2 linked regions of the Medicago truncatula genome follow. The protein of the gene in region 2 interacts with the protein of the main gene of each other region in a pairwise test. Links are inferred from orthologs where the notes say so. Each region holds a gene or a part of one and is shown on either strand. Other genes may lie near its edges. The genes, in order: abscisic acid receptor PYL8 and transcription factor TCP19.

The links.
Region 1: the proteins of transcription factor TCP19 (region 2) and abscisic acid receptor PYL8 interact in binary tests that used the Arabidopsis thaliana proteins (3 or more experiments, as listed by UniProt). The link is inferred for Medicago truncatula from reciprocal best matches to the Arabidopsis thaliana genes AT5G51910 and RCAR3.

What each region holds. Positions count from the first base shown.
Region 1 is NC_053044.1:44,778,858-44,796,865, forward strand, and holds abscisic acid receptor PYL8, read right to left. Parts: upstream 7,051-18,008; 5' UTR 6,842-7,050; coding exon 6,698-6,841; intron 6,059-6,697; coding exon 5,843-6,058; intron 4,056-5,842; coding exon 3,816-4,055; 3' UTR 3,404-3,815; downstream 1-3,403. Other genes in the region: polypyrimidine tract-binding protein homolog 2, read left to right, coding at 412-939; probable trehalose-phosphate phosphatase 2, read right to left, coding at 16,643-16,813, 16,924-17,064, 17,163-17,240, 17,342-17,443. UniProt on the Arabidopsis thaliana protein: Receptor for abscisic acid (ABA) required for ABA-mediated responses such as stomatal closure and germination inhibition.
Region 2 is NC_053042.1:49,600,367-49,616,678, reverse strand, and holds transcription factor TCP19, read right to left. Parts: upstream 5,968-16,312; 5' UTR 5,832-5,967; exon of another isoform or gene 5,825-5,831; intron 5,807-5,824; exon of another isoform or gene 5,731-5,806; 5' UTR 5,672-5,730; intron 5,544-5,671; 5' UTR 5,543-5,543; coding exon 4,529-5,542; 3' UTR 4,487-4,528; exon of another isoform or gene 4,438-4,486; 3' UTR 4,360-4,437; downstream 1-4,359. Other genes in the region: uncharacterized protein, read left to right, coding at 6,219-6,495, 6,587-6,691, 6,833-6,900; molybdenum cofactor sulfurase, read right to left, coding at 11,274-11,346, 12,110-14,004.

The sequences.
Region 1 (18,008 bases), on a different chromosome or scaffold from region 2:
AGCATTCCTAACCTCAAAGATGAGAGAAATGGGATTATTCTTAGTTAAATATACTGAAGAACTGGACTATCTAGTTATAGACCTTGATATTCCTTTCTGGGATGATGTCAGTGTATCATTCACTGAAAATCCTTTAACTTTGAGTCTTGAAAGGTTCCCTATAATCATTGGTCTACATCACAGCTTTCTGAATCTCTTGACTGTATTTAAAAAATAAAAAAAATGTGATAATATTAATATAAGAAACCTGTCGTAATTTTAGATTTGTTGTTCAGTATTATATTTTCCTTTATACATTCTGAAGGGGAAGCAATGGCAGCGATCAACTGGTTAATAATTTTGTAAGCTTGCTGCATGTAATATGAATTCACAGATTCGGTTTAATTTCAACGATGATTTTTGTAATTACAGGTCAATAATGATAGGAGTAGAGACTATACCATTCCTATGATACCAGTTGTGAACACTCAGCCCTCAATTTTAGGGCAACCTGTTCCCATGACGGTTCCTCCTGCTCAGCAGTATAATGGTTCTCAATATACTCCAATTTCTGACCCGGCTATGATACCCCAATCTCAGGCAGGATGGGGAACAACTCTACCAACAGTTGCTCAATCTATGCCATTGCAGATGCACAATAACATTTACATGCCAGCTGGAAACATGCCACCTGGAAATGGGCCAATGCAAATGCAACCTGGAAATGGGCCAATGCAAATGCCACCTGGAAACATGCCACCTGGGAGCATTCCACTACAAAGGCCACTACAAATGCCACCTGGAAATGTGCCAATGCAAATGCCACCTGGGAGCATGCCACTACAAAGGCCAATGCAAATGCCACCTGGAAACATGCCACCAGGAATGCATTTCCCAAATCATGACATGCTACAACCGACATCCACATTGCCCGCATATGGATCTGATCGTACTCAATAGCGTGCTTCTGTGTCTCAATAGATCTACATTTACCAAGAGTCAGCTAGCCTCTGCAGAAGTGATTCGAATTAGAGTTCCCATCTGGTGAAACTGGCTGTCATTTGATTATGTTTTGAACCTCAAATAGGATACTTCTCATTTTTTCGTTTTTTATATGCGTATTTTGAATGGGAACCGGCATGCAATTGGCCATCAACTTTTAGTTGGCTTACTTCCAAACAAAATGTTCTGTTCGGGTCTTTTTTGGGTTAGGTCTGGATACAATTAGTTTGTCTGGGAAATGGTATTGAAAAATAATTCTGATAAGTAGTATCTTATGATATTGCTTGCTCTTTAGCTTTGGATAGTGAGTTCGTGACTGCAGTTGTTTTTTACTATTATTTTTTCATTAAAAACAAATAACATGAAAAATGGATGGCAGAATATAAGCTTTATTTAACTTTCTAACATGGAAACTTAATGGCATGTTTGGTTGCCAGTTTTTTATCACATGCAACCTCATTTGAAATATAAATGTGATTCGGAATAATTGTCGATGCATATGTTTTTTTTTTTTTTTTTGACAAAGTTGTCGATGCATATGTTAAAAATTATGCTTTTGATATCCGGTCACCACAATATTTGTTATTTTATTTAAATAATGGTTTAATAAATACTTGATTATCTTTGCTAGTATTCTATTTCCCAGTTCCCCAGATTACTATATTAAACTAAACTAATTTGTCTTTCAAAAAATCTCTTGTGACTCTTGCTCTCCTTTCTCATTCCTTGCCATTGTCAGAACAATATTTAAACACCTAGCCAATCTAGGTTGGTCCGGTTGATACAAAGTTGACTCATCCCATAAGAACGTGGAGTTCATCTTTACTCCATTTAGGTTTGCTCAATTTACCCCATTTATCATCATGGATGTGTGACATGTGGCAAAATAGAAAATCAAGGGCTGGGATTAAAAAGGTTGGAAAAAGCACACGCGCGTTTGTTGTCTGCTGGTGCATGCTCCTTCTTTATCATCTCAAGCTTGGAATTCACCAAGGGATCCTTATAAGCAAAGGATTTTCTTTCTCACCTAGATTGGCTAAACAATTTTCGAGGCACTTTTAATGCTAGTATCATAATCTCTTTCTGTAATGGGTTTCTTCTTCTTGGTGGGTTGTGCACTATAATCGGGCCTTGTTCTAGGTTTCCTTTCGATAGAATGATGATACTTGGCAACTGCAACAGACTCTTTCACGGCAATCCTTATTTAACAGAAAAATATGTTGGTCCTGAAGAGAGAAAAGTACCAAAAAGGGAGAAACATCCCTAAATAAAATCCTACAGAATCGATTTCAATCCATGTTGCATGTATCGGAAAAAGAAAAGGAAGGGGGTGGCACCGCTTCTGTATGAACAGAAAGGGCTGCGACGGTGCCGGCGCCGGCGAGTGGGAGAGAGAAGCACAGAAGTGATGTGGGGAGAGGAAGAAGAAGGGTCGTGAGTGGAGTTGGAACAAAAGCGCGTACCCTTGTTTTTTATAAAACAAATGCATTTTCCAACCCTTTTAATCCAGCCCTTGGTTTTCTGATTTGCCACATGTCACACATCCATGATGGTAAATTGGGTAAATGGAGCAAACCCAAATGGAGCAAAGATGGACTCAAGAACGTGGGTTCAACTCATGTTGTTAGCTTTAGAATTTCGTTGGTGGACAATCTCTGAATACCTTTGTAACCACTATGAGCCTTAAGGTATCGGGTATGTCATGCTCCTAGTGAACTCTCATAACTTAACTCACTTAAAATAAAAACCATGAAATACACAATATTTGATGTTTAAGTTTAAAATAATTGAAAAGTAACGTAACAAATGACATTATGGTATCACTTCATTGGATAGATATGCAAGTGTTTTATATTGCCCATACATAATTCATCTAATAAACAACTGTATATTTCTACGTATTTTTTGAATAAGAATAAATAACAACGAACAGCCATTATCTTTCACAGATAATCATATCCAAAATCATTAACGTGGCGGCACCAATGTCAAACCATTTGATAAGGTTAAATCTCGTGGGGATGAGGAATAGAACCCTAGCATTAATTATCCTCTTCCTTTTCCTTATCACCCCTCTACTCTTTTTTCATCTATTTTTTACGACAATTGTTCCTTTCACCTCGAGATACACCTTTTAAAAAAAAAAATATTATGCGTATCATTTAAGTTTCTTTTTAACGGCCTACAAAAAAAGTTTTCTTTACGGAATCATTTGTGTTACATCCAATTATCATCATCATTCACATTAATTAAGTGACCTTTGATCATAAATAATTTTTTAATATGTTACCAGGTCTAAATTAATGTCATAATGGCCACACACACAAAAACAAACAAAATCTCTTCATATTTTCTGATTTTTCACTCTTTACACATTTCTATAGTTTCTTTCATATAAATATGATTGCTGAATTCGATAAAGTTATAATAATGCTGCTAGATAATGAAACAAAGAAGTCTGAGATCTGTTTATATATAAGTATCCTCAGCTAAATGATGGAATTTTACTGCAACTAATCAAAACAATTTTACAGACCAACTTTCACCAGCACCTATATACAGAAAGAACATGACATGAAGATCACACTGAAGCAAATGCTCCTTCTTCACCTTTTACTGTACTGGATTCAGACACCTGTCTAAAATATTCTGTTCTTTAACACTACCAAAGAGAGAAACCAGCATATATAACAGAGAAATTAATAAAGCAGACCAAATAAGCAAATGCTACAAGTCTATAACATATGAAACAGACACTATTTCCACTTGCCAGTCCGTCTCCTAAGCCTCCAAGATCGGAAAGCCCCTGAAGCTTCATCCGTGGCAGAAAGTTTTCAGCCACTTATCAACAACTCATGCATCCGATCAAGTGGTTCAGTGAGGTCCTGCACAGCATGTCCTTCTGAGACATCTGAAAGTGATTTGAGATTGCACTTAATTAAGGCTTCAACGAAGTAGCAGGTCTCATCCTTGGTATTCCCCTCTGGTACATCTACCACAAAAGATTCAATTACCAGGGTTCCTGGTCTTCCATCAATAATTTCTGGATGGAGGGACATGATAGATGAGTAGTTCTGAAAAACAAAAGATCGTTTTTGTTGTTAATTAAGCGAGGTGGAGGAGGAGGTAAACTGTAGCATGCAACAGAAAGAAATAAAAATATATGACATTTCCAAATTAAGTGCAAGCCTTGACGAAAACAATCTAAGGCAATATTGAGTCTAGGAAAATGACCCTTCCATGTTTTACTTGATTTATATTCCATAATCAGAGGTGGATATACTCTTTCACATAGCATGGGAATGAAAGGTATATTAGAAATATTAATTTCCAATTCTTTCTCGCATCATTTGAATTTTGAACGTATTCCCAAAATATTAAATGCGGACCAAACATGTTTTCAAATTTACCTCAAAGTAACATTCCCGGACAGTGCTCTTGGGAATAAAATTATACACCTTGAAAGGAACATCTCCAAAGTGAAGAGAGATTATTGACTCAGGGGAATCTTGGTTGTATTTGTATTAAACCATTCTTGTGGCTTAAGCACTTAGGTTTTTTTTTTTTTTTTGATAAATAAGCACTTAGGCTTTTGGGATAAAGCAATTCTAGTGACATCATAATATAGGAACATCAGTTTCAAAGTTAGCAAACTATGACAGTTAATTAGTGGCCTAAGAATTCATGGAATCTTAAACATGTCCTTGGTTTGACAATTGGTTGAATTCCTAGACAATGAAAGTTTTAGCTACACACAGGGAACAATGTAAACCAGAAGAACCAAACATCAAGGATCTTGTTGACAAATGACAACTACATTAACTTTACGCCAGCAGAAGAAGCGGCACTTTAACAGATATTTTTCCTTTGTAAAACGATGCACATGACTCAAAATAGAATCAAATTTATACCATTCTGAGCAATATATGATAAGAAACAGTGTTAGGAATATCTGTTACCATATAACTAGTGGGACCATTAAAAAAAAAGCATATAACTTGAGGGACAGAACCTAAGTGTAGCAGTGAGCTGGTTAGTTAGTTTTACATGGACTAGACCAGGCTTTTAAATTTCCGGGAATTGGGAATTCTTGTAAACATTCAGTCTCTATTAACTTGAATTATCTCGTTGAGAGATAAGCTATTTAATAATGATCTCTTCATTCATCTATTTCCTTCCTATTTTGACCATGTACCTATAAACTAATATCAGAGCTCAGATCTTTGAGCTATGGATATTGCATCTTAAAGCAAATCTAGAAGCTACTTATCAGTTGAGCAAGAATGGAGAAGCAAATTCTTGAAGAGATGCAGTGAAAGTTTGCAGGTTTCAAGTTTAAATTATGATAGAAAACATTAAAAAAGTAGATATCATATGCATCGGAAACAAGTACCAGGCTTACCATCATAAAGACAAAAGGATAACAAAAATTCCTTCCACCCCAAATATACTAAATGACGTGTATAATATTATACTACTGGCTAGAGCTTATACTACTTGGAATAATGCAACAAATATAATAACTGTTCAAAATAATGAAGTCTACTATTCAACATCTTGTTAGTTGTTACAACAGCACACATGATTGCACTCAGTCAATTATATGAATGAAACACAATGTACACACTCAACAACGAACTAATAGACCTCCCTCACGGTATCAACATCCCAGATATGGATTAGAGATTTTTAAAGCTCCCAACAGAGATTAATTATGTATATTCTGTTTCTACCGATGCAATGTGTGTCTTACACACACAAACATATATAATTAGTTCATCATAATGAGTGGTTGAGGAAATGTTTTATTGTTTCAACAAAAGAATAAAGAAGGTAAATTATGGTAAGGAAGTAATCATACCCTAAGCCTATGATCACCACCAATAATCCTGATGCTTAGAATATGCTCATTGTCATCAAGGACCTCCAATCTTTCAGTACTAGTTGTAGCCGGAAGCCCTGACTTAACATCAACTTCTCTTAAACTCCCAATCTCAAGGTTTCCCCTCACCACACACCTGCTCACGAATGGTTTATATTTCTGCGGCTGATCAAACCTCCTCACCAAAGACCATACCTAGAGAAAGAAAGAAAAAAATAAACGCAATAAATAAACAATTCCATTGAGAAACATAGTAGAATCATTCAATTCAATTAACATAGTTTCTAAATTCTGCATTACACATTGCCACAGCCAAACTCTTCACATCATAATATCGATTGCAGATACAAATAACTAGATCATCATCATATTCAAGTATGAAGCACGACACATACACTGACACAGACACCACTGGTAAAAATTTGGAAAAATGAATTAATTGAATGTAATTCACATGTGTCGGCGTAAGACACCAACACACCAACACGTGTCAGATACCAGACACACGATCACTTGTCAATTCAAACTAAATTAGCAATTTTCCAGTGATAAACATAGGAGAATCATTTAATTCAATCAACATAGTTTCTATATTGTGCATTCCAGTGAAAAATGAATTAATTGAATGTAATTACATCGTGTCAGAGAGTGTAAGTGTCTGACACCGACAAATCAGACACGCCTTTCATCAGAAGTATGTATCGGTGTTCCAGAGATTCAACTATCAACAATTCATAGACCAAAAAGCTAAAAAAAAAAAAAAAAAAAAAAAAACAGAAATAACCAAATAAAAAACGGAAAATGAATAATGAAAAGTAAAGTAAGATTGATTACAAGAGGAACAGGAGCTCTGATATGCTTAACAAGTGCAGAAGAACACTGATTCTCTCCTGGCTGTTGATTGTGATGTCTTCTGATGTACTCCATCTCCGTGCTGTTAAACACTCCATTGTTTTCAGTTCCGTTCATTTTCTCCATCGCCGATAAACGCAAAACGCCACCGGCGATCGAATCTAGAACGAATAACTACGTCTTGATTCCGACGATCGGAGATCGAATTTCCGTTCCGGCGAGTTTCAACGATGGAAGGTTCGAGAAGTTTGACAAAAAAAGAAAGGAACGCGTTGCACCGTCATCCACCACCAACAACTCTTCTCTCTCTCATTTATCTATCTTGAATTATTTTATTTTTTTTTAATTTATGAAAATGATGATGAAAGTAAAAGGAGAAAAAAACAAAAATGTGAAATGTGTGTTTTTCATTGTTTCCTTGAATACTTCACCAACTTACTGTTACTGAGATTTTATTACCATATCGCCATTGGTTGGTTTGTCCTTCTTTTTGGTGCTGTTGTCGTTTTCTGATACTCGGACTGAGATGTCTGAAAAACCCTCCATTATGTCATCTATTTACAAAGTGATCCTAGGATTTGTAAAAAGATAAATTTCGTAAAGAAAAGATAAAATTTTAAAATATTAAATACGTAGTTTCTAAGATTTTTTACTTATATTAAAGTCAAATAAGATTTTTTTATTTTGAGGGAACAAATAAGAATTGAATATTTGATAATTATTTATAAAAATGGTTATCGTATAGATTTACACCATAATATAATGACTTAAGAGCTCTTATAACCAAACAATTTGATTTAAATGGTTAATGAGTTTCATCAATGAAAAATTATTCATGAGAACATGAGTTTAATTCGAGAGTGGAACAATTTTTGTCAGATTTTACTTACATTGTTGTCGAATTTTAGATTATCAGAGTATTAGTTAGCATTCTCCTTAATTCAATCATAAAAAATACATTTGTGTATTGCTAGAACATTTTACTTATGTACATTAGATAAAGTCTTCACAAGTACTCCCTCCGGTCTCAAATGTAGGGAAAAAAAAAACACACTAATTAAGAAAATGAATTGATTACATTGAAATCATGTTAAAAAATGTACAACTTTCCAATTTTGCCCTTGTCATGTTTTAGTAATAATTAATGAAAGTGGCTTTTGAACTCATGGAGATAGGGTAAAATTGGAATAGTAGCATTTATTAGGTTGCTTTTACTATACTTTTTCTTACATTTGAGACCACAATTTTTTTTGTTTTTTTCCCTACATTTGAGACCGGAGGGAGTACATGTTTATCATAATCATCTTTGATTTTTTTGAATCATCATTATGAGATTTGACTGCTATCATTATAAAAAAAATCTTTTTATTTTATTTTATTACTATATGATACAATGAATTGTTGAAAATTTAAAAGACAAGTTAAATGCATGATTATAAAATGGTAAATTCATAAATAAATTAAGTATGAAAATGAAAGTTAAGAGAAAATTAGATGCCAAATATGAAATGTATTATAAAATAATGAAATTTATTTTCATCAAAAAATGAAAAGAATTTATTATATAATCATTAATTTTTTATTTATACCCCCTCCATCTCCATCTATAAGAATCTTTTGAGAAGAAGAAAAAATTGTTAATATGCATAAACATTCCTTCCAAGTTATTAAGTGTATTTACTATTTTTTTATAAATATATCTCTATTTAATACCAATAATTTATTTTCAAATATAAAAAGTCAAAACCAAATCCGTTTAAAAAAGTTTATTTCTTCATATATCTGAAATATCCAACGGGTATTAATAAGTAGAGACGTAGAGAGTGTTACGAATAAAATAAAATATTTAAATTATTCATATGTATAAATGCATATCACAATCATCATCGATTTTTATGAAATATCATTATGAACTTTTTAATATATGAGAAATATACGATGAATGATAATTTTTATTTTTTTTGTGGTAACTAGGGTTTGAACCTCAAACCTTACATATATTATATATTGTTTATAGTTTCTACTAACTAAGTTAAATTCACGAGGACTGCGATGAGTGTTTATAATTATAGAATAGAGCGTATTAGAAATAAAATAAAATAAAATATATAAACCATTCACAAGTATCAATGCTTATCATAGTTGTCATAGGTTTCTGTGATATATTATTTCTGGTTTTGTTTGTTTTCATTTTAAGAAAACTTTATTATATTATAATATAATATAATTAATTTTTAAAAATTTAAAAGAAAATTCATATTCATGATTATAAAATAATAATTTCTTCAATAAATTAACAATGAAAATTAAAAGGAGAAACAAAATATTAAATGTATCATGATATTTATTTTCATTAAAAATGAAAAGTATTTATTATAAAATGTAGAATTGATAATAAAAGCATTAATAATAAAAACATTAATGATTCCCTAAAAAAAATGGTGGGATATATTTAAGTCCCTGTTCAATTCTTAAATTACTTTACTATTTTTTATATAAGGTCAATTTTACTGCCATTAAAAATAGTGATTTAATCAATAAAAAAATAGTGATTTAATATTTTCCATCAAAATGTTAGTTTTTTTATTTATACTCACTTTGTCCCTATCTATTAGCACCTTTTGTGAAACTTTTTTGACCATAAATATAAAGTTTCTTTCAAATGCATATTTATTTATTTTTTTCTAAACATAATTCTAATTAATACTACTAATTTATTTTAAAATATGAAAAATTAAAATAAAGGGTACTATCGTAATAATTATTCACAAAATATACACATGAATTACACTACCAATTTTTTCTAATGTGCGTGAAATATATAACGGGTGCATATAGTTAAGACATAGGGAGTATTAGAAGCAAAATAAAACATTTAGATTATTCACAAATACCAATGTATATAGTAGTCATCCTCAATTTTATGCGAATAATTATTTTGACTTCTTTAATACTTCTCTTGGTCACTATTATAAAAAAAAATATTTTTTAGATTCATCGAAAAACTGTCGTATCTCGACAAAAATATAGGTCAGATGCATCAATTATTCAACGAATGATCTAAAAAATACATTTTTGTTTAAGTGGTCGGACGAAGTATATGTAAAATATGCATTGAGTGTTTATATTAAAGGCATATGGTGTATTATAAACAAAATAAAACATTTAGACTATTCACAAGTACCAATGTCTCTCATAGTTATCCTCGTGTTTTGTGAAATTCAGAATGAGTTTTGTCTATTTTCAAGATGATTACGCCATTAAACCAACACTTTTTGTGATCTATCGGTTTGAGTTTGGTCTGTTTTCAAGATGATGATGTCGTTAAACCAACAATTTAGTATCTCAGGTTATTTGGCATGTGAATAAATTCCATCATTTGCAAACCTCGTTACTTCACAGCGAACTCAAATATTTAGAAAAATTTCAACTCTCTTCGTTACTAATCGACTATTTTGCAATCTTTTGCTCTTCTTCATTCACCTCTTGATCCAAATTTGCTTTTGTAAGTTTCACACAAACTTCCTTTTTATCATCTCAAACTTCAATGTTGATATTTAATTTTAATGTTGTTTCTTATCGACTATGCAAAATATTTGAAAGAGATCTTACTTAGGGTTCAATATCTCTTTTCTTTTGATGATTTTATGAAATTTTTATTGTTTTATGTTTTTCTATGTGAGACTCATGAAATCAATAATTTTCTTCTTTTTTTCTTCCTTGATTCTCATCTTTTGATGGGGCTTGGACTAGATCAAGAAAGAGAAGATCCAATATGCTTTTAATTTGCTGATTTTATTGGATGTCATCTCTTTTTCTATTGGCAATCATGTTTTTAATGGATCAAAGCAACGATATGCTACAATGTTGTTAGAGTTACATTATTAATAATGTAACTCTAGACAATTACAATTGAAGAGTGCCTCAAAAACAAAACAAAAAATCAATTGAAGAGAGAAATTGACCCACCAAAATAAAATAATAATATTTTTTTGTAAGATTCTCTCTCTATCCAACTCGATCTATACAATTACAGGAGAGGATTACATTGAGACTCAATATTATGCAATGTCATTATTTTTTTACGATAAAGTCAAGCAGTTTGATATGCCTAACAATAGATGTAACTTATTTTATATTACTTCATCAATTGTGTATGGATAGCAAAATGTTTATGAACTATTTTCAATGATTTATTTGCCTGGTTTGATCTAATGAAATAGATCTCTTATATTTTATGTCTCTAGTTATACATTATTTATCGATCTAATGAAATAGATCTCTTATATTTAAAGCCAGTACTTAAAAGGTTTGTTTTTATTTTTTAATGGATTATTCACAATTTTGTTGAGCTAATTAGCTTATGCTCAACTTAATACTATCATATATCGAACTTGAGTTCTTTCAAATGATTTGTCATCTCGTTAACCACTTGATTACTTTTTCATTTCCTGGTCCATATATATGCAGGAAACAAAACCAACCATGGTGAATAATTTAGTTCCAAATGGTCTCCTATGTAGTGAAGAAATCTTTGTTCCCAAGGTACTTGAAAGAAGCAAATGGTCACAAGTTGAAGATAGAACTATAGAGCTGCTTCAATTTCTTGAGCCCAATCCTAAATCAGAAACGCTTCGAAATAACATTGTATCTTACATTAAGGGCCTCATCATCAGCCATGTCCCTGTCAAGGTACGTAAAATCTGCTTCATTTTCTACTCATTAATTATATATCAGTGTAGTTATAGTTATGAAATCCTTGTGTTGCACCCCAATATTCATTATTTTTTAGTTACCGAAAATATCTCGAGCCTTTCATTAATGTATGTATTTTGAAGCCATATAGATTTCATCATAGTTATGATTTACGTACTACTTAACTGTGTTTGGCATGCATGTTATTGACATTAAAACTTGACTGTTTTATAATTCTTTTAATAAGAGATCCATGTTTGTTTTGTCAAGAGAGAGAGAGAGATCCACCCAAGTTGTTGCATTTTGATAAAGAAAAATGCTATGTCATGATGTATAACACATATTTTTTTAACACACTTGTTTCTATTAATTAAATTTTACCGAATCTATAATAATTTAGCTAGTAAAATTTAAATTTCAACTGAATAGACGAGACTATTTTAAAAATTGTGTTAGAGAATAATTATTAGTACTTCTATTTCATAATGTTGGATTTCTTCAATGAAAATTTTGGATATTCATTGCACTATACTTGTTTTTTTTTTTTTTTTTTTTTTTTTTACTTTAACCGATCTTTATCTAATAACTTGACCAACTTTATTTTTTTCTTTCAAAAAAAAATCTAATAACTTGACCAACTTTAATTTTTTTTTGAAAGAACTTGACCAACTTTAATTAAGTCTTCATTTTCAACCAAATTTTTATTTAATTTACAACACTCGAATCTAATATATATCTTACTTTAGAGATTTGAGTCTAATTTCACTCAAACCAACTTAATATTAATTAATATCAACAAGTTAATTTCTCTTTATATCTGAATAATAGTATTGTATGAATAATAACGGGACGACTTATTTATTAAATAACAGGTTTTTGAATTTGGATCAGTACCCTTGAAGACTTACTTACGTGATGGAGATATTGATCTCACAATTTTTGGCAACAATGAACTATTTCCTGAAATTTTCATCCCTCATATTCAGCAAATATTAGAAAGTGAAATGAACAACGAGTTTTCTAAATTTAGGGTTAAAGAGGTTCAGCTTGTCAATGCAGAGGTATTTTTTTCTTATCCAATGCAATGCATTTTCATATACAATTTGTTTAAGTGATGTGATAAATGTGATAGGAACAGAGAGATAGAGAGAAAATAATGCGTGTATAGTATTTATGAGTATCCAAATATAAAAGTTGTTCCGATAATTGATAAAAAAAAACGTGATAAAAATATTTTTCAACCTTCGCGTGTTTTTTGTTGTTCAATGCCAGGTGAAGATCATTAAGTGCTTGGTTGAAAAATTTGTAATTGACATATCTTTCAACCAATTGAGTGGTTTATGCTCACTTTGTTTTTTGGACGAGGTAATATTTATTATAGTAAGTTGTGATTTCAAGCATATTTTTTTATTTTGCAAGATCTCTAAAAAATAATCGATTATTGCAGGTTGATTATTTGATAAGTCGGAATCATATATTCAAGCGCAGTGTTATATTGATAAAAGCTTGGTGTTACCATGAGAGTCGTCTCTTGGGTTCTAAGAGTGGACTCTTTTCAACTTATGCGTTGGAAATTTTAGTCCTATACTTATTTAATCTTTACAACAATGAATTTGTTGGACCACTTGAGGTGACAAACTTGATTATTTTGATGTATATATTAATATTAATATGGCTTATGAAGGATAAGAAGATAAAATTTATGTTATTTTGATCTTATTGTTGGCATATCGTAGGTACTGTTTCGATTTCTGGAGTTCTTTAGTAAATTTGACTGGGGAAACTATTGCATTAGCTTGAGTGGACCAGTGCCCCTAGACTCACTTCCTAATATGACTGGTATGTGGAAAAATTTCTTGAGTTGATCATATATCTTGAATAATATGTTCTCTTCATTATGAATGATAGCATTTACTCTTTTTTTTTTCTTTCTGAATTCAAAATTGCGATAGCTGATTGTCCAAGAAAAGATCGCCAAGACTTGCTGCTCACAGAAAGCTTTCTTATTGCTTCAAAGTTCTGTTATGGTTGGCGCAACCAGAAAAATCGAGAGAAGCATTTTGTTTCCAAACACATCAATATTATTGATCCTCTGCAGGAAAACAACAACCTGGGGCATAGCATCAGTAGAGGTATTTCACTTTAAAACCTTCATTGAAACAATTCTTTTATCAAAGATGATTCTGTTACATACGTGTAAGAAAAAGAACGTTGATTTGTTCGCTGAATATAGAAGGTGTATGAAGTGTCTACAGTATATTCTTAAGAGCATTGATATTTTTCCACTTTTGAGTGTGATAAATTAATAAATGTAATTTTGATGAACAAAATCTCTAAGTATACATAACTCCAAATTATGCTAAATAATATATCAGTGGATCCAAACAATTGCAAATTTTGGATGCCCTGTTAGACCTGTAGCTAGATATGATTTCAAGACTAATAATCTATATAAGTTAGAAGATGGATTATTTGTGTTGCCTCTCTCTTCTTTTATTATATTTTTCATGTTTTTTAATTCTAGTCTGTGTTCAAGAAGATAGCTTATTTTTCCTATTACTGGTGTGATCCTTCTTCTATCTAAATATCTGATTGTCTGGTTATAATATCTCCGAGTAATTTATCTGATTGTCTAGTTATAATCTATTCTACAGGTAATTTCTTTAGAATAAAGAGTGCAATTGCATATGGTGCTGAACAGATGATGCGAATATTGGACTGCACCGATGAGTATCTGATTTCTGAATTTGATCACTTTTTCGAGAACACGTGGAATAGACATGGGAATGGTTCTTGGATTCGTGTCAGCATTTATAATCTTGATATAAGAGATAAAAAAGTTGGAAAGCTAACATGTCAAGAATTTGAGGATGAGCTGGATCTAGCTTCTCTCAAATCTCAGGGTATTTACCAAAAGTCTGATAATCAATTAGAAGAATTAAAAGATGCATCTGTTGTTTCTCATACCCGAAGCTCAAGGACCGATGACATGTTGAGTTGTGATAGAAAACATACAAGTTCCAAGAAAAAAGCACTTACTGATAAAAACAAAAGCCCTCTATGTTCATCAAGTCATGCCATGCATCATCACTTTGCTAGTGATTGTTGCTCTAGTCCAGAATCTGCTGTTCAATCAAAAACTGCTTCAAGTGGAAAACGATCATTTAAAGTGGAAAAAGATAGTGTCGATCCAACTGTTGCAATAATCAAAGATAGTAATGTGATGAAACCAACAACAAGTTGTAAATACATTCCAGCTTCGGACTCAACATTAAAGTGCAGTCTATCATCCTCAGCTCTGAAGCCTACTCAACTTGATGACGTCCATGATCCATCAACTGTGAGCATGGACATCTTCAGGCATGAGAATATTAGCCATGTTGAAGATTCGCATTATTTTTTGAACCACTTTTATGATATTTTATATGGTGATTTTGAAAGCTATTGGAAGAATCTTCTGTATGGACGGTATTGTGAGAATGGACGATTAGAGGAGCTTTTCTATCATCCTCCCCCTATTTTACATTCAATAGATTTCCGAGCACCATTTTATTGGAGTTGGAGACCTTCAGGTTCTGAGAACGTTGTGCCTCCCACAGTTCCTCGTATGCCACCACCATTTACTTCTGATTTGCACAGCAACATAAACCAATGCATTCCTTATTCACTTCCCATATTTAGTGGAGGCATCGGAACTTTCATGCCAAACCCATTTGCTTACCATGAGGTTAATATTTTTCACCCTTCTTTCACCTGCAAATGTTCTATTTCAATTAAGCATAATATATTTTTAATGTTTAAATTTTATGCAGAGATATCACAATTACACATATAACATATCTGAGAGACGAGGGAATTTGAATTTTAATTCAAGGGGAAGATCTTCTAGACCCGGTCAGTTCCACAGGCAGCCAAACAATTTGAATTCTAATTCAAGGGAAAGGTTTTCCAGCCGTGGTCGAAATCATTGCAGATGGAAAAATGAGCAACCAGGTATCTAAATGGTTATTTCAATTAGATTTGTAACAAACTATTTCTCTATAACTTTTCATGAGGATATCATTATAAATATAAAACTATGGATTATAATAAGTGCCTTTGCTTGTGCTTGGTTCTCTTAGAGGGTAAAGAAGAAGCATCACGTCAAGTTGAAGGCTCAAGTAGTTCTGTTAATGAGCAAGAAAATTCGGACAATTCTCCAGATCAACCATGTTCGTAATCCAATTTTATTGGGTAATGCTTTGTTTTATTTCATGTTCTTTCTTTTTATTTTTTCACCACTATAGTTCATATTTAACATACCTTTATATTGTTTTTACAGAAATCTCTTTTGGCAAATGGAACTGCATCATCCGGCAAGGAACACGTGTGTCCAGCCTAAATGTGGCGCGTTTTTATGATAACCATATTGGAGTAGGTGAACCGCATCTTTCAGATTACTCCGGCAAGGAACACATGGCATGAACCACATCTCTCAGTTTAACAGTATCATTCGGCAAGGAACAAAGGCTCTACATTCACCTATTGCAATGTTGTCATCATCAAAATGTAACCCACTTGTCCTTTGTCGATGATGCGGTTAATCTGATGATCTGATCCCACATTGACAATGTCCTGTAGAAAAGCTACTAACTTGTCGCACCACTTCTTCGCAAGTGCCAATTCACCGGTCAATTTATCGTTGTCTTTTTTTAATCTTTTGTTCTCACTGGATAAATCCGGGCAATCCATCTGTCCCCTATTGAAATTCTGGTTGGCTAATTCCCATGAGTATAGGTTCCAACAATTATTCGTCAGGTTCATGAGAATGAGAATGTAGAATGTGACAGATTTATCATTTTGCACAAGTTAAAGATATTGTTGATTTTGTCTTGCCATCATATCAGCCTTTTTGTGTGATCATTTATGATGCTTCATTGAATTGAACAGTGTATGAGTTATGTTTTCTATTGTTATAAATGTAATCATCATGCAAAGCTTTTGCTTGTATAGCCTTTAAATTTTGCTTCATTGATATCAAAATATACTCTATATGAGAAGTTATTCTATCTTGGAACATTTTTTACAGAAGGGAAACATATATTACATATACAATGTTATTTTACAAACCAACTACTAATTGAAGGAAAATAAGTAACAAGTATCCTACCCACTTCTCCAAAAACCATTGTGGGAAGTAACTATGCATACTCTAAAACTTTCACTTTGATGATTTATATTCTATATCTTATCTTAATTACCAATATTTAAAGGCCTTCTTGAGTAATATGTCTTCGTCCATTTTGCTAGCCTTGACAAGAAGATTAGTACTTCTGATGGATCACGCAGAGAGTACAAAGCATCGGTTTCTCTTGGAGTCGAAGACACTATAATCGGATAACCTTGCCCCATTCTTTTTATAACCTACAGAAAGTTGAGAAAATTAAGCCGTAACTATTAACTCGATATCGAATATATGTGCATATGTTATATATATCGTTAAGAACAAATTAAGTGATGGTAAGGTTATATACCTTAAAAGCATCTTCATCAGTTTTATCATCACCAATATATACAGGAAGGAAATTGCTGGAACTGCTTAATCCTAATGTGTCAAGAAAATATTCAACAGCATTTCCTTTGTTCCATTCTATTGATGGCCTTATTTCCATAACCTATACAAATAAAAAGTATTGAGTACCGTTGGGAAATCAAATAGGATTGATTATTAAATTCATAAACAGGTGAAGTTAAAAAATAATGCAAAGTATACCTTTTTACCCTCAGTCAAGCAGAACAGTGGATTCTTTCCAAGCACAGACTTCACTTTCTCTTCCAATTTGTTATAATCCTGGATTCAAACATCATTATTATCTTTAGATGTAGAACTATATAGTAAATAAATAATAGGACTAGAAATGATTCGAAAAAATAATAGAAATTAAATGGTACCTTTTCATGAACCTGCCTGAAATGTACAGAGATGCAGAATCTGTTGTTTTCTATTTTTGCACCTTCTATGTCCTTTATTACATTCTCCAATTTTCTTAATATCTGTTTTCACAAATAGTCAAAACATCAATTTTCACTGCAAAATATATTGAGGTGTTATCTTGAACACCATAGTTTGCATAATATTTACTGTGCTAATATACATTGAATACTATTTATTTATGTCATTAAATTATTTACAATTCAAATAATTTTAGGAGAAATAAGAATTAAAATATAAAAATTGATGTGACATTAGATGTTGGGTGCTATACCTAACAAAACTCTACGGCACCAGATTGTTTACAAAGATTGCGTAATAACGCATGACTATTCATGAAAATTTAAGTTTTGTTGATGTGAAGTTGTTAAGAAATCAAAAGTGAAAATTGTTTGTTGAAATAAGTTTTAAAATAAAATTACTAATGTTTTAATATTTGCAATAAAAGTTTTCAATTTCTTAATGGCATGTAATACCATATAGATTCTTAAAAAGTATGAACACTTGAATTTTAAATCATGTGATTGTAAACGTCATCAACTCTCTGAAAAGCTTATAATAAGCAGCACCTGTGATTTTATTACATCTTTCAACATTACTGTATTGAACCAAACAATTAGTTCAAAG
Region 2 (16,312 bases):
CATAGTTTATCGACCACAAAACCCACAAGCATTACCGAACACATTCAACTTAGAAATTGAAAAAAGCAAGACAATTATTACTACAAGCAGATGAATAAGGATTGTCTCCATTGTTGAAAATAACATAAATGGAAGACAATTATTACTACAAGCAGATGAATAAGGATTGTCTCCATCGTTGAAAATAACATAAATGGATGATGTAATTTAGAAAGAGATACACAAAAAAAAATAAGATGTGAGTTCTACCATCAATTAAGTTTCATCATCATTAATTATTTTTTACTTTTTTCAAAATTTTGTGTGTCTTTATCTCTTCAAATGAAAAAAATAAGAGGAATGCTAGGGTCACACCCTCTAGCACACTCCACTCACAATTTGCCATGTCATCCAGTTTTTTAACACCATGACTTGCAACCGGTTTCCACCATCCTTCATTATATTTATTACTTATTATTTTTTATTATTTGGATTTAACTAAAAAATAGTAATTAAAGATTTTCATCTTCCTGCGCTTCAACCTCCCATCCAGAACAGACTCTTCAAGTTCAGGATTAAACAATGGAACCTAAAAACATCACCATAGAAAACATGATTCATACAAACAATTTTTTCACTTTGGATAAAATTCACGTTTCAAACTTCAATTTCCACAATCTTTTTTCATCAAATTTCAATCCCCACAATCTTTCCTCAATTCAAACATCAAAGCCTAAATCTTTCTAATTAAACTTCATAACAGGGTTCCCATTAAACAGGCCAGATTTGGGTACCTTTGTTTATAGGTTCAATACAAACCACAATCTATCTCCCTCGTATCAGGTTTTCGATCCAAGGTAAAAAAATTGTTTGTATGAATCCGATGCTTATAAAAATCATGAACAGAATACCCATGGCAGATCCACCTTTATAAGAATTGTAGAATTTTCCTCTGTAGAGAGCAAGGAGTCTCGGAGAAGATGAAGTCAGAGTCTAAGTTAAAGAAAAAATAAAATAAAAAACGTTGTTATTTCTCAACCTGTAGAACAGGTTAACAGGTAAAAGAATAAAAAATGGAGGTGATGTGACCTCATGTCATTGGAGAGTGTTAAAAGAGTGTGTTTGAGAGTGTGTCCTTAGCATTTCTTAAAAAATAAGAGGAAAAACGAACATAAATAGAAAAGTCAAAATATTATCACTTGATTGATAAATTTAATCGTCATATTTTGACATGGATAATGATAAACATAGCGAATTGTTTCACGAGAGGACATGTCATTATTTTGACCAAAATTATACCTACCACAACTCTTTATTCCACTACATCCGGATTTCACACCCTTCCAGCATCAAACACATCAGCTTCAGGATGTTCTCGGGACAATACTTGTCGCTAGATAACACCTCTCTTTTGACATTAAGTACAGAATGAGTTTTGTTACAAACAACTTAATTGTATATATTAAAATAGGTATCGGTATTCCGTGATTTCGAACTCCGGACACCCCACTTCTCCATAATTAAATTATGTGAGCTTTGGATCAAACTCAACTTGCCTAAGTGGCTATATATTGATAGTTTTATTTTATTTCCTTTATGCTGCTTTAATTTACATTTTATATAAAGTAAAAAATACTATGATTTTTTTTCCTTCATTTTGTTAAGTTTAATATATTGGTTTTAAAAGTATATATATTTTCTTTATATATGGCCCCTCGTAAAATTTATGTCAGCTTCGCCACCGTCTACAACAACCAGATCCTTCTTGAATATCGCCGCATTGTTTAGTCACTACTCACTTGATGATCATTCTCCGTCCCCCAATCAGTACACCATCCCTGAAAACATCTACATTGGATTGCTCCATCAGGGTGAGGAGTGAGGAGCTGTTGCATATCATGTTTATGCAGTTTTTTGCTCCATCCCTTAAATTCATGGACCAGTCTTTGGGATACACATGCACTTACATAAAAGGCATTGGCCATCTTTTGATGAAACACAGGGTCATGCAAAACTATTGAGCTCCTCATCAGTCATCACAAGTATTTGTTCAATTGGCCATTGAGGTATTAAACAAGTTATAAAATACTGAAGGCATTATTTGCGTGTGCTGCAAATTATGTAGGTGTGCTTGCAGAGGTGCTTTAGATGTAAAATGTATAGGAATCTGGTATAAGGAACTTGGACTAGCAGGATGTGTAGACTTGTGATGCAAAGGAACATCCACACTTTATGTCATGGAATTTATAATTTTCTTGTCATAATACACAAGGTAAATTATGGGCAATTGGTAGCATAAATGAAAGGAGATAGTAGTGGCGGTTCTAAAGTCCGGCGAGTCCGGACAAGTGGCCCAAATTTTTTGCAATATTTTATGTAAGTTCTCCTGAATTTTTTATATAATCTCTTATAAATTGGACAATTTTTATAGATTTTTGATTATTTACTTGCAATTTCTTATGTAAATCCTCTTAAATGTATTGTGAATTTATTTTGCTTGAACTTTATAAAAATCCAGGTTCCACCACTAGACCGGAGGGAGTTTTTCATTTTGCATACCTTTACTTTATTGATTTCACCACTTATATATAAGTACCTTGAGAAGGACAAAATATTGGTCCACCCACAAACATAACAGCAAAGTCGACACGTGTACTGGGGCCAGCTTGGTTCCACAACACGAGAGGGTCCCAAAAAATCATAGGGGCACGTGCCATAATCCAGCAATCACGTGACCAAATCTCGTGGCCCAAGTTCAGCCACTAAACATGCTCCACGGACCCTTCCCTTTCCCCACCCACATTTTTGGGGCCCACAAACATCACGTGCTGATAGAAACTCACGTGACCTTTCTAAGATCCCATTTTTCTAATGCCACGCACACTGCTAGGTAGCCCAAACCTCACACCGTTTTAAGAATTATCGGATAATTATAAACGACTTCGCACGTGTAAACTGGACCCCGCACGGTGGGACGTTGGACCCACTGGCACTACCTTTGACTCAAAAATTCAATTTTCTTTTTGCACTGCCTACTTCCCCAAACTTGAGGTTATTTATCTACGTTTTTTTCAATATAAAATAAGAATTCACATTTTTATCGATGATATAAGATCATTGTTTAATAGAAAATATAAACAAAGTCCGTGTAAATTTAACTCAGTTAGTAGATATATGGATTGAGGTTTAACTTGACCAAAAAAGAAAACATGCTAATTTAATATAAAAAAAACCTTTTTTTCATATTTTTTCTTACAATCTGTTATCATTTTCATTTCAAAAATATTAAATTTCTTCATCTCCTTTATTTGATAGTATGTGATATTTATCACATTTGTTTTAAAATTGAATTTTACTTGTCATTATGGATAAATTATCCTCAATTCAACAAGAAATAATGCAGACCTCACTGATTTTTTCTTCAATCAATTTCCATTTTCATCTAAAAGAACAACAAACTCTTCCATTTCCTTCATTTAATATATAATTTTCATCTTATTTGTTCAGAATTGTATCACACTTGTCTATAACTTCATCTTATTCATTTTCCATGCTCACGATGACGTTTTTTTTTTCTTCCCGTTATTAGTGGTTTTTACATTTGCATTTTGAAAAACAAGTTTTATTTTATTTTTTATTCTGAATCAATTTATGTATTTTTTTTTGGGTTAATTAAGTAAATAGTCCCTATAAATATTCAGAATTTTGTTTTTAGTCCCTACAAAATAAAATCATACTTTTTAGTCCCTATAAAAAATTTCATCAACATTTTTAGTTCCTATAAAATTTTTCCATCAGCATTTTTAGTCCCTGTAAAAATTTTCATCAAGATTTTTGGTCCCTAAAATACTTAAGGAAAATGTCACAGGGACTAAAAAGTGTGATTTTATTTTGTAGGGACTAAAAACAAAACTGTGAATATTTATAAGGACTAAAAACTTAATAAACCCTTTTTTTCTATAATATTTTTAAAAAATGATCATTTCAATTTGTATATTTTAAAAAAGTTTAGATGGTGGCACACCAAAGAACATACTTAAAATTCAATAATTATTAACAAATGCATTTACATCAATGATTAATGTCTCCTTCAAAAAAAAAAAAAATCAATGATTAATGTCACAACTGAATTTCTTTTCTCTCTTTCACCACACTTTTTTGTTTGTTTGTACACTTTGACCAATATCGCCCCAAATATTATATAAGTTGAACCCACAATAAATATATAAAGTGACTATTTGACAATTTTTGTTAGAATTTTGATTATTTTTTACTCTCAATAATAAATATGAAAAATGACCATAATAAATATTAAAGGCAGAAATAATAAAATTTATAAGATAAATAGACAAACAAAAAAGATTTCTTTAAAAACAAAAATTCAAGACGTGTTCTTTCGCATTGGCCAAAAACCAAAAAGACAAAATTCAGATAGACACAAGCTATCTCTGCTTTTCTGCTCCAATTTTCAAAAAAAAAAAAAAAGAAGATATTGACTAGCTTTTCTAACTTCTAAAGTCTAAGCACATTTTTCTACCAACTTAAAGCTTCAATTTGAAGAGGGAGATGATTCCAAATTTGCAGAAGAACAACCCATAAACTGCAGCTCTTTCTTATCAAAAATATCCAAAGAAAAATCTCTTAGCATCTGAGTATTTGTAGCAGAGGATGAAGAAGTAGTAGCAGAACAACTAGTTGAAGTTGCTGAACTCAAACTAGGAGCCAAAGTAGATGAAGCATTAGAATTTGCATAAGCAGTAGCAGCATTTGAAGGTTCTTGTGGCATTTGCATAGCAGAAACAAAATCAGAAATAGGTCTTGTTTGCACATTGAAAAATGGTGCTGCAGGAATAGCCCAAAACTGTGGCTGATTCATTAGAGTTGAATTTGGGAACATGAAAAATGGTCCTGTTGTATTAGACCCAACACCGTTACTTACAACAGGCCATAATGGAACTAAACCACCACCATTTTCACCACTACCACCGCCACTGGAGGTGGCGGCGGCACCGTATGCGGTTTGAGCAATTGGTGCTAATCCCGAACACATTGAAACTTGATCATTCAAGTCAACAAACTCACTGTTTGAAGCTCTTCTTCTTCTCTTCACCGGAGCATCTTCACCGTCTGGTCTCGCCGGAGATGATGTTGGAATCTTTAACGTACCTCCGACGGAAACAGCAATGGCTGGCACCGTTCCGGTGCCAGTTGCTTCAATGATAGAAGGTTCAGCTTGTTCTAACAACCACCGGATTGTTTCTCCGTCGGATTTGTGACCTAGCTCCCTCGTCAGTTGAAAGATTCTGGCGGCGCATGTCGCCGGAATCCTGATTCTCCGACCACGTCCTTCCACCTTCGTGTGACGGTCTTTCGATGACCTCTTCGCCGCCGCCACTGTCATCGTTTGAACCGGCACCGGAATAAGGCTGTTGTTTTCCGTTTCCGTTAGCTCTTCTTTCATTAACGCCGCCGCAGGCTCCGTCGTCTCCGACGGAGATACTTCAGTACTGTCAGTTTTGTTTTCTTCACATAAAACATCGCCGCCGTTAGGGTTCACTTCCATCCTAAACAAAAATTAACAAATAAAAATTTAACAAAGACCCATTAAGGAATGATCAAAACCCAGATGAAAAAAAAAAGAAAAAGATTTCAAATTTAAGAAAAGAAAAAAATCATTTTTTTTGGGGCCTACTTTGTTTTGCAGAGAAACAGAGTTTTTGATACGTTGACTGTGTTTGAATCTTTCAGGCACTGCAAAAGATTAGAAAGACTAATTGAGAATTCGAAGAGGTTTTTGTTAATAAAAAATAAAAAAAAAAAGATAATTGTGTTGATTGAGAGAAACAACAAACCCTAACAATGGTGGAGAGCCCCACATATCCGTGTGGAAGAGAGGGTCCCTCAGGATCAGTATTTATTTGCACAATGAAATAGGATTAATGGCTGGATATACTTTTTACATTAGATGAATGGATGGGATGATGCCACGCAGTTACCTCTTAGTTTTGCTCCTATTTTCCATTTCAAAATAAAAAGTATAATTCATAGTCAACAGTCGTAGATTTCTTCTTAATGGATAAAAAGGAATGTTGTTGAAAAATTTAAATGATACAAATAATCAATATATTTGAAAAGAAGGAAAATTATATTTCTTAATTGGGATGGTGTTTGGAGGCTGCGGGTTCCTCCGAAGGTTAAAAATTTAATATGGAGAATGTGCAGAGATTGTTTGCCGACACATGTTGGATTTTAAGATAAAGCAGTGCATTGCTCTACTAATTGTGTCACTTGCAACAAACCGTTTGAAAACCTTAACGATGTTATTTTCAATTGTTCTTTTGTTGCGCAGGTGTGGCATAGAAGCGAAATTGGCGATACGATTAATAGTGTGCACAACAACACATCTTCGGCAACAGATGCAATATTATCTACCATTTAGGAACTTTCGCGAGACAATTCCCAAAGGTTTGCAGCTCTCTTGTGGAGTTTATGGAAGCACTACAATCTATAGCTACGGTAAGAAGTCACCAAATAGTACCAGAAGTTATTGATCGTGCTTTTCATTTAATCGAAGACTGGAGTTTGGCTAACACCCCTCATATGGCAGCTAAGATGTCGCATGTGCTTCCACAACACACGCTTACTACATTTACCTCAAGTGCATCTAGTGTTGTTTTCTCTCCCACCATTCAGAACAACGAAGTTACTTCAGGTACGACTGAAATTTGTTGGCAAAGACCACAACATGGTCGTTTCTAATGTAACATAGATGCCTTTATTTCGAATCAATTCAATAGAACAAGGATATGTAGTTCTATTCGCAATGACGAATGTGTTTTTGTGCTTGCTAAAGTGATCCCGGTTACCCATGTGTGTCCTATTCCAGTGGGGGGAAGCCTTGGGTCTCTTTTATTCGCATGAATGGATGGGTTACATGGGTTTTGACAATATTAATTTCTCTTTGGATTCCAAGACTGATACTGATGCGTTTAATGGTCATCGCGTTAACATCATAGAGTTTGCCCAGGTTCTCTCTACATGCCGCCGTCTCTTCAACACCAAGTTTACCAACTCTAAGGTCGAGTTTACTCGGAGACAAGTCAATGAGGAAGCTCACCATTTAGCAGGGGTGGCCGCATTATTAGCCAGTCCCATTATTTATACTAATGTACTTCGTTATATTGAACAAATTATTGGTAATGAAATGATATAAACATCATTCTTTTAAAAAAATGCTAGTGATTGTATAAAAAAGAAGACAAATGTTAGTAATCAATTTCTTAAGAAAAGATAAATGTTTTTTGAAATAGAATTGATAGTAGCAGATATTGAGCCCAAAATCTTATATATATATATATATATATATATATATATATATATATATATATATATATATATTGATTTTTTCTAACTCAAATCACCGAGTTATAGACAAAAGAAGAATAAAATTGGTTTGTTTTAACAAAAAATCATGTTTTAAATCCACTTGAGTTAGCATGTTAATGTTTGCTTGGGATCTTAGAGAGTGTACTTTTTTAAAGATCTTAGATCAATTTTTATCAGTATCAATTTAAATGTGCTAGTTTAACTTATTCGAAAAAACAATAATCAAGTTTTTTAATGATATTTCAAGCCACTTTTTTAATTTTTTGTCCTTGATAAAAAAAGTACATACCAATTTTTATGATAATTAGCTAAACAAGAAATGTTAGAGTCCCATCCCATTCATTCAATGCTGATGATATGTTGGTGTTTTATATTGGAAAGTTTGCTAGTCTATGATAGGTTTTTGGAAGTGCACAGTTCTATCGAGTAGTAAAAATATCTATGCACAAGAAATTAAAGTAATTATCAATCTAATTTTTTTAGTTTTGATTAGTTGAAAATGAATAGAGTAATGGTGTTTTAGATTAAAGTTCAGATATTAAAAAACGTCATGGGATTGAAGTTTTCATCATAATGTTAAATCTTAAACATTCTCCATCTATTTCTCTATTTTATAATGAATTTATTCCTAAGGACAAGGTGTTCTTTGGTATTTCATGTTTCATCTCAAAATACATGAATGTATCTCAACAATAATCAAGCTTATCCTCATGGTTTATTATCATTGAGACTCTTTGAGTGCAACCTTATTGTCCAAAAACTCACAAAACTATTCTCATGTTTTGTTTATCTTATCTAATCTCATTTGATCTAATATTAAACTTCACCTCCTAGTTCTTCGTTTGAAATTTGATATAAAAATTTAATAATGATGAGATTAGATTAGAGAAACCTAACATTAGGATTCAATCATTAAAAAAGATTATTCCAACAATCCCAATTAGAAAAGTCTACTCAGTCATGATCTTAGTTGACAAGAGATTAAAATGTAAAAACATGAAAGTAAAAGACAGAATGTAAAGAGCTGGAAAATAAAGAACAAGAACTTACCTTAAGACTTCACTACCTCTCGACCGAACTCGATATTAATAGGGCTGACTTTTACCCTAAAAACCGGAGGGTAACAATAAAAAACATAAACATAAAAAATATTTTTAACATATTTAGTTATTTTCAATTAAAATAATAAGATAGAATCGCACAGAAATGATACTAATATATTAAGCAAATTAGGTACATCCATGATATTTTCCAGATTTGGGTGTTATGAGTAAATCCATGTCATGGGTAATCCAACGTGGTGATTTTGGCCATGCATGCACTGGGCCAATTACCTTGGGCTGGAACACTAATATGTGGTTGAGCTTTTAGGAATGGGTTTGTTCCTTGAAAATTGTTGTTTACACTTTGCACAAAGTTAAGAAACATCGTGAAATGGTAAATTTAACTTCGATTTTCATGGGCAGTTAACGACCGCCGGTTAAAATTTATCGGCAGTTAATTATCGATGAGGTTATTTTGCTATTTTGGTGGTGTTTCTTACACTCCTTTGATGTGGGAACATCAATAATCTTGTTCCTTACATGCTGTTCCAGTTTTGAAATCTTGTGCCAACTTTCAGGTATTGTATAAGACATGTCACTACTAGATACAAATGTTTAGATAGACGAAATGACAACAATCATTGAAACTCACTTACAAATAAGTGAAGGAGTCGGAATTCAAATCTTATCAATTTTAGCGTTACAACAATTGTCAACATATAAGAGTATTTGGGGATTTTGGGAAATTGATTTATTTAAAGAGGATTGCTATTCATAGCGAACACAATTTCACGAATATTTCACAAATAAATTATCACTGTTTGATGTTTCTTTGACACAATACATGGTGATTTGATTAAAAAGTAGAGACTTTGACTACAATTCAAGTATGTCGTTGTGATGTTATTCAAGATCATAGTTTTCACGATATAAAGTTGTTCCCTTGTTTAAATTTGGGACTCAGTTCTTATTTGTTTGCATTCAAATATTGAAATAGGACTGATGACAGTCAGTCATTTGCTATTTTTAGAGTCTTGTTATGATAATTTTGAGTTCACAAGCAAGCTTAAACAACAAGGAAAGCATGAAAAATACAAGATTTTGAAGAAACAGTTGTTTTGATGTTTTTATTGAGTCTGTAGCAATTTTAGACAGCCTGGGGGTGTAAAAAGCAGAAATTCTGGAAGTGCTGGAAATTGGCAACTGTGGCGCGATTTTGAGTGGCGTGGCGCGATTTTGTGACCAGAATGAAGGTTTGGTTCTGCCACGGAAATCGTGGTACGATTTCTGGTGGCGTGATTTTTCAAAATCGTGGCGTGATTTTATGAGGCGTGGCGCGATTTTGGACGCAGAAAATGTTGCCTATTTAAGCTGAAGACTATTCTGAAAACAAGGGTTACGATTTTGGAGAGCTAAAGTGCGATTTTAACACCCAGAAGACTGCAGAAGGGGCGATTTCATCATCTCTAATCCAGTTTATGTATGTTTTAATTTTTCCATTGATTATGCTATTTGTAAACTCAATTATGAGTAGCTAAATCTCTTAGAGATTAGGTCTGAGATGATTTCTTGTAACCCTAATTGATCCATGTTGTTGTGAAACTCTATTTATTATTAATGACAATCTAGTTTTTATTCAATTCAATTGTTCTTAATGCTTTTTATATCCTGATCAAATATAAACATGATTTAGTGAGAACGAATGACTACTGACCCTAGCTTTCGACTTAGACCTAATTGAATTGTTCTAATAAACATGGTTAGTCTAGGAATGGATAATCGTTTGTTAGTGATATTAGGTTAACGTGCTTTAAACCTTCGAGAATTATTAGACCACCTAAGGAATTAGGGGCTGTAGTTTGAGAAGAGGGTCCTAACTCAAGGGATTGATTAGAGCTATTTTGTTAACTATCGTGAAACTAGAAAATCATTAATACAAATAGGTGCATTATACCAATTAGGGGAACATCGATGATTCGAAAGACCTGATCTCATCTCTCTTCTTGTCTTTTCCAAAACTATCTTATTTTCTGTTATTTAAATTTATGCAATCAAAACTACTGCCTCGGGCACTAAAAGAAATTTACACATCCTAGATATTAACGTTATTGCTAAATTGAGATTAACACAGTCCTCGTGGGAACGATATTTTTACTACTTCGATAGTATTTGGTACACTTGCCAAAATTTCTATCAAGGACCTTGAGTTTATCTTCTTAATTAATCGCCTGCATTTCGTCCTTGGACGTGGTTGATTAATAAGGATATAAATGCAAGACTTCAAACAATTTTTAGATGTCAATGTCCAAGTCAAAACAAGATGAACAAAGAATTAAGGGTATCAAAGTCAAATCCCTTATTGCCTGATTTACCAGTAGAGTTTTTTATTCTCATTAAAATTTTCAATATGACGATTCCATTCGAACTTGGTTCTTTTTTTTTTTAATTTCTTGTCTATTTTTATACCAACATAACATAACACACCTTGATATTTAAATTCCTAGCTCTTGCAACGTGCCTAAGCGGCCAAATCAGAAAGGGTTCTGAAATAATTATTTTACATGTCTTAGTAGGATCAAACATATTAAAAAAATTGATTTAAAGTTCAATTGCAAACCTTTCAAATTCAAACAAAGACATAGTGAGACATGACTTTGTTTGTTGACAGGTCCATTCAAACCTTGAACCAATATGTGTTTACTTGCATCATAACCATAGAGTTTTTGTGGACCACCAATACCTTACAACATTGATTTCAACCCTCCTTGTGTTGTTTCAACAGAACTGGCATGGCTTGATCTTTATATGAATTATTTATATGAATTACATCGATATTAACTTTTTTTTTTAACTCCGTATATCCATCTAAAGACCGATTAATCTGGATGACCAATCCCATCGTACACTAGTGGGACTCAATTGAAGGCAAGACAAAGCCCTGCATGGAGTTTGCCCAACACAGGTATTGTTAGCACAAGAGGATTCGAACTTGAGACCTAGAGAAGAGCAAGCTTAAAACACGAGGCAAACCATTTCATATCGACAGTAACTATAATAGAGTACTTGAATAAAAACTCTAGTATTCAGCTCAAAGCCCTAGCATATGCTTAGAAATGGTTGTGAGTTGGCATATTTATTATTTAGAAGGATAATTATTATGACTCTGGACCTATTCCATTTAAAATTTTGTTATGTACCAAAACTACAGTTTGATCATTAAAGAAAATACATACAAGTTGTGAAGCACAACAACCAAATAATCAACTCCTTATAGGTCCTCAGATGCAATGCAATTCTCCCTTTACTATCTGTTCAAAGACAGTTAATGCTAACCATCTTTACAGGATAATATGATAGTGGTGAGACCTACACTTCTGTAACTGAATAATATGAAGGGTTTACTGATTTCTTTCTTCTTGAAATAGTTTGCATATTTAATCTGTGAAGCATGCAAGTATAAGATACAGGAAACTAGTAAAAGTAAATATATTGAACTGATAAATTAATGTCTAATAATTTGCGAACTTGTCAGATAAATGAGCGAATAAGTTGATTAATTCCCTTGGAGAATCAACACAAAATCTTCATTCAAGTTCACACATTTTTCAGTTTTCTATAATCCAAAGATCAAGAAGAATAAATCAAATTTACATAGGAGTAGTAATTAAACTTCAATTGTTTTCTGATTAAGAGCAGTGTACCTCCACCTCTCCTTCTCCACAAAATCTGCATCAAGGAACCTAGCAACAAAAGTCCATAGTTTATACACATCTTCAAAATTAGCCAAGAAGCTTAATGCAGCAGTAACCACTGTCACTCCCAAATCATCTCTATCTTTCTTTTTATTCACCATTACTTTCTCTCCTCTTCCTTCTTTTGTCTGTAGGACTCTTCCCTTCCCTTCTGAGTACTTATCTGCAAACCAAATATGATGCAGAAATCCATAGCTAAGAGATATATTGTTTCTATCAGCAAGTTTCTGTACTAAAACAGGCTCAACTTTTTCACCTTTCCAATCATAAACATTGAAAGCCAAAGCAGGACCTCTATCAAATCTTATCTTTGGACCATAAATCTTGACTAAGGGAACCCCTTCATCATTAGGGTGCTTTAGCTTAAGCAATGAGTTCACAAGCCAATTTATAAGGTACCTTCCTCTGTTGGTTATCAGTGTCAATCCTAAAGAGTCCACTTGATCCAAACACCTGCATTCAATGTTAAAGCTCTCATTTTTACTATCTTGTACAGTCTTAACTTGATTGTTCTCGACTACCCTTGCCTCCATAGTTTCAGAACCTAGTGGAGCTTTTGGATCTGCTTCAACTTTTACAAATTGTGGAGTTTGCATCCTTCCAGAGAAAGAACTCAAAGCAGATAATTCTTGTTCTTGTAAAATAGATGGTGATTTTTGACCAATTCCTACTTGATTATTACATGAAGAATCTTCTGATAGATTAAATTGCGTACTTTCTGGTACAAGGTTGACAATTCCTGCACAAGTGGAGGATTCAAGAATGGAAATAGAAGATTTCTTGACAAAAAGGCAACCAAAACCAGATGGATTTTCTCCAAAAACTTTGTAGAATGAACAAATGAGAAAATCTGGTTGAAATAGAGAGAGACCAAAACTGTCCATGTCTTTTGGTCCTAATGCACAAGCATCAATCAAAACATGCCAACCATTCTCTTGTGCTGTTCTCATCCATAGATAAGGATATCTTGCTCCTGTTACCCTTGAATGAAGTGGAAATACAAAAAGACCATTTTTCTTCTTTATCTTCTTCTTACTATTATCACTAACAATCATCTTCTTCAATTTTGTTGACTGAATTCTTAGTCTTGGCCATGAGAATTCAGCTGACATAGATTTAGCACCTCTATTTTCTGAAGTACTAATCATTGCTTCCACTGCTTCACTCTCATAGTCATAAACTGTCAGAAGCTTCTTACAAGATTGAAATGGATATGAATCTGCTACAAGTTTGAAAGCTGATGTTCTATTTGCTGTGAAAACCATGAAATAATCATTTTCAGAAATGTTAAGAAACTTCATTATCCTTTTCCTCATTGCAGACTCAAATTCTGACTCTTTCCCTCCATGAAGCAATAAAGTCTTCAAATTTCCAGTTTTGTAGGAAATACTAAAGAAGGGAATATCAGAATATTGTTGTGGAGATTGAAACGGTGTTGAAGTTGAAGGAGAAGAAAATTGAGTTTTTGAAGCATCATGTTGTTGACGTTGGTAATAGGAAAAAAGACCAATACCAATATAATCAAGACAAGATTGGTTTAAGAAAGAAAGGTGATAATATTCTTTGGCTCTTAAACTGTCAATTTTCTCAGTCTCAGAGAATTGTGGATACACTTTGATGAATTCAGTGAATGATTCATGAAGTGATGGAAGAGATTCATGGTTTGTGAATTTGGTGTTTGGAAAAATTGAGGATGATGTTGATGCAAAGGTTTGGCGGCAATGTGAAGAACTGTTTCTGGGTTTGGTTGTGGAATTGTTATGAGATTGTTGTGATGATTTGATGAACAATAAGGTTGGACAGCAACCTTGAGAGACAGGTTTTTGGTTAAGTGATGTCTGCATTTTTTATGTTTTGTTGTTTTGTTTACACTCAAAGACAATTCTGGTTTTTATATGGATGTTTGACTGTTTTGTTCTATTGGAATTATTGATACTTTCTGTTTGAGAAACTTACATACAGAATATTACAAGATATCCAGTTGCAGTAGGTTTATTTATAAATAACCGAGTTTTTTTATTCCCGTAAGATTAGTCTCTAAAATTACACGTAGAATATACCCGATTAAAACAAAAGTTTTTGGACATTAGTATTTTCTTTTAGTTATGGTATAATATGTTTGGTTTGAAATTATTCATTTTAGTCCTTATATTACAACATAAATAAATGTTTTAAAGACTAAAACAAACCATGCTATATTCATGGATCTTGCTAAGGAAAGTCCTAAATTCATGTTAGTAAGAAAAGAAAATTAGAAATTTTGCATTTGAGAGACTAATCCTTAAACACATTTTTTTAGTATTTTACTATAACTAAAACCAAATAATTCTTTTTATAAAATAGTGATATATATATTTGCTGAGATAAAAAATATGTTTGAGTCTCTCTAAATTATTATAGGTTTTGTGTCTGGATCTGAGTGGCTGATACTGAATTGTATGAACATGTTGACGAGGTCAGGCAACACAATTTGGACTATGTCTTTCATAGTTTGTTTGTCGTTTTGGAATGTGTCCCACATGCTGCCAAACCAACTAGGTGTGAATTATTATTATTATTATTATTGTATTGTGATGATTTTGTTACGCGTTATAAAAAAGAAAGAAAAAAGAGCAAAAGCATTTATTGTTGCACCTAATTACAATTTTTAGCTAACTTTCCTCTCATTATCTAGCCATCCCCACCTTGCCTTTCTTTTTTAAGGCATTTTTTCTTGATTACTAATTTGCAGAAAACATGAGTTTTTTCCATAAGTTGAGGTAATGTACACGGTTCTCAAATAAGATGTGCTAGGATTAAGGATGTTTATGTATACAACCATAGGTTTAGTTTTATAGGAATGGTAAAAAAAATGTTGACCAAATAAGCTAGAAGTCTATTTTACCATGACTGATTGCATTGTCAATTTGATTCTCAAAAAAGACAAGTGCTGCAAGAAAACTATTTAGTTTGACCAGTGATACATTTTAACAACCAAATTGTAATAACTTTTGGAAGTCATATAATAAAAATACACTTAAAATAAATGTTAATTTGAATAAAGAAGATAATTTAGTTATTAGGTTTCGTGTAATACTCTAAATCTAATGACAAAATAAAAAAGTATTTATAAAAATAAATGTTATACAAAACTCATTTGGTTTTTTCTTATTGAATTTTTTTAGATAAGTTAAGTGTTAGAGGCTTATTAGTGTCAGATAAAGTCTCAAGAATCAAATAAAACTTAGTACAAATAAATATACTTAAGGCATAAGTTAATGGATCAAATATAATAATTTTTTATTGGAATGTGTACATTGAATTTATTTTTTGAATTTATAATAAATTAAATACACAAAACTTAAAAATATTTTTACTTTTAGGTTCTTAACATGTATCTTACTAATTAAGAACATAAGTTAACATAACCATATACTTATATATCTATTAATGAGGTTATCATATCTATCGACAATGAATTGAATCCTAGATAAATATTTGTTTGATATATAAAAATAAAAAAATTTGATATGAGTAAATTACTAGCACTGAAGTGAAGATAAAAACACATTTATGTGTGTAGAATTATAGGTTTGAAAAGGTGGAGCCACTGAGGCAGATACTCGAAAGCAATAGTAAGTGGAGGACAGAATAGTCGCTATTAAAGCCAGCATTATCGATGAACTCCAAAAGAAAAGCCTCTTTAGAATTTTTCTAAGTACTTGTTGTGGACAATGTTTGCTTAATGTTTAAGGGTTGAGAAACACAAGTCCAAAATAAAAAATAAAACAAATAAAAAGGTTTCATGATTATATGGCTCGTGTATCATTACTTAAATCAATGATTTTTTTTCCCATTCAAGTTGAACATATTGAATGAACTCACCGGCCCATAATATTAAAATAGTTTCCAATATAGTAGCATGAAACATTGCATTATATGATTTTGTTCAATGCTTATTCGTGTGTTAATGTGTGAATTTTAAAAGAGTGGGCTCAGCAACCAATTAATAATGAATATGAGGCATGCTTATGATGAGAAAAGCCTCTTGTTCAAAAAAGAAGAAAGTGAATTTGACTGATATACTAAAGTGAAATGCAATTAACGAAAAAGAAAAAGCAAAATTGCAGGAAACAGCGCAAAGAAAGTTTGGAGTACTGTTTCATGAGGAAA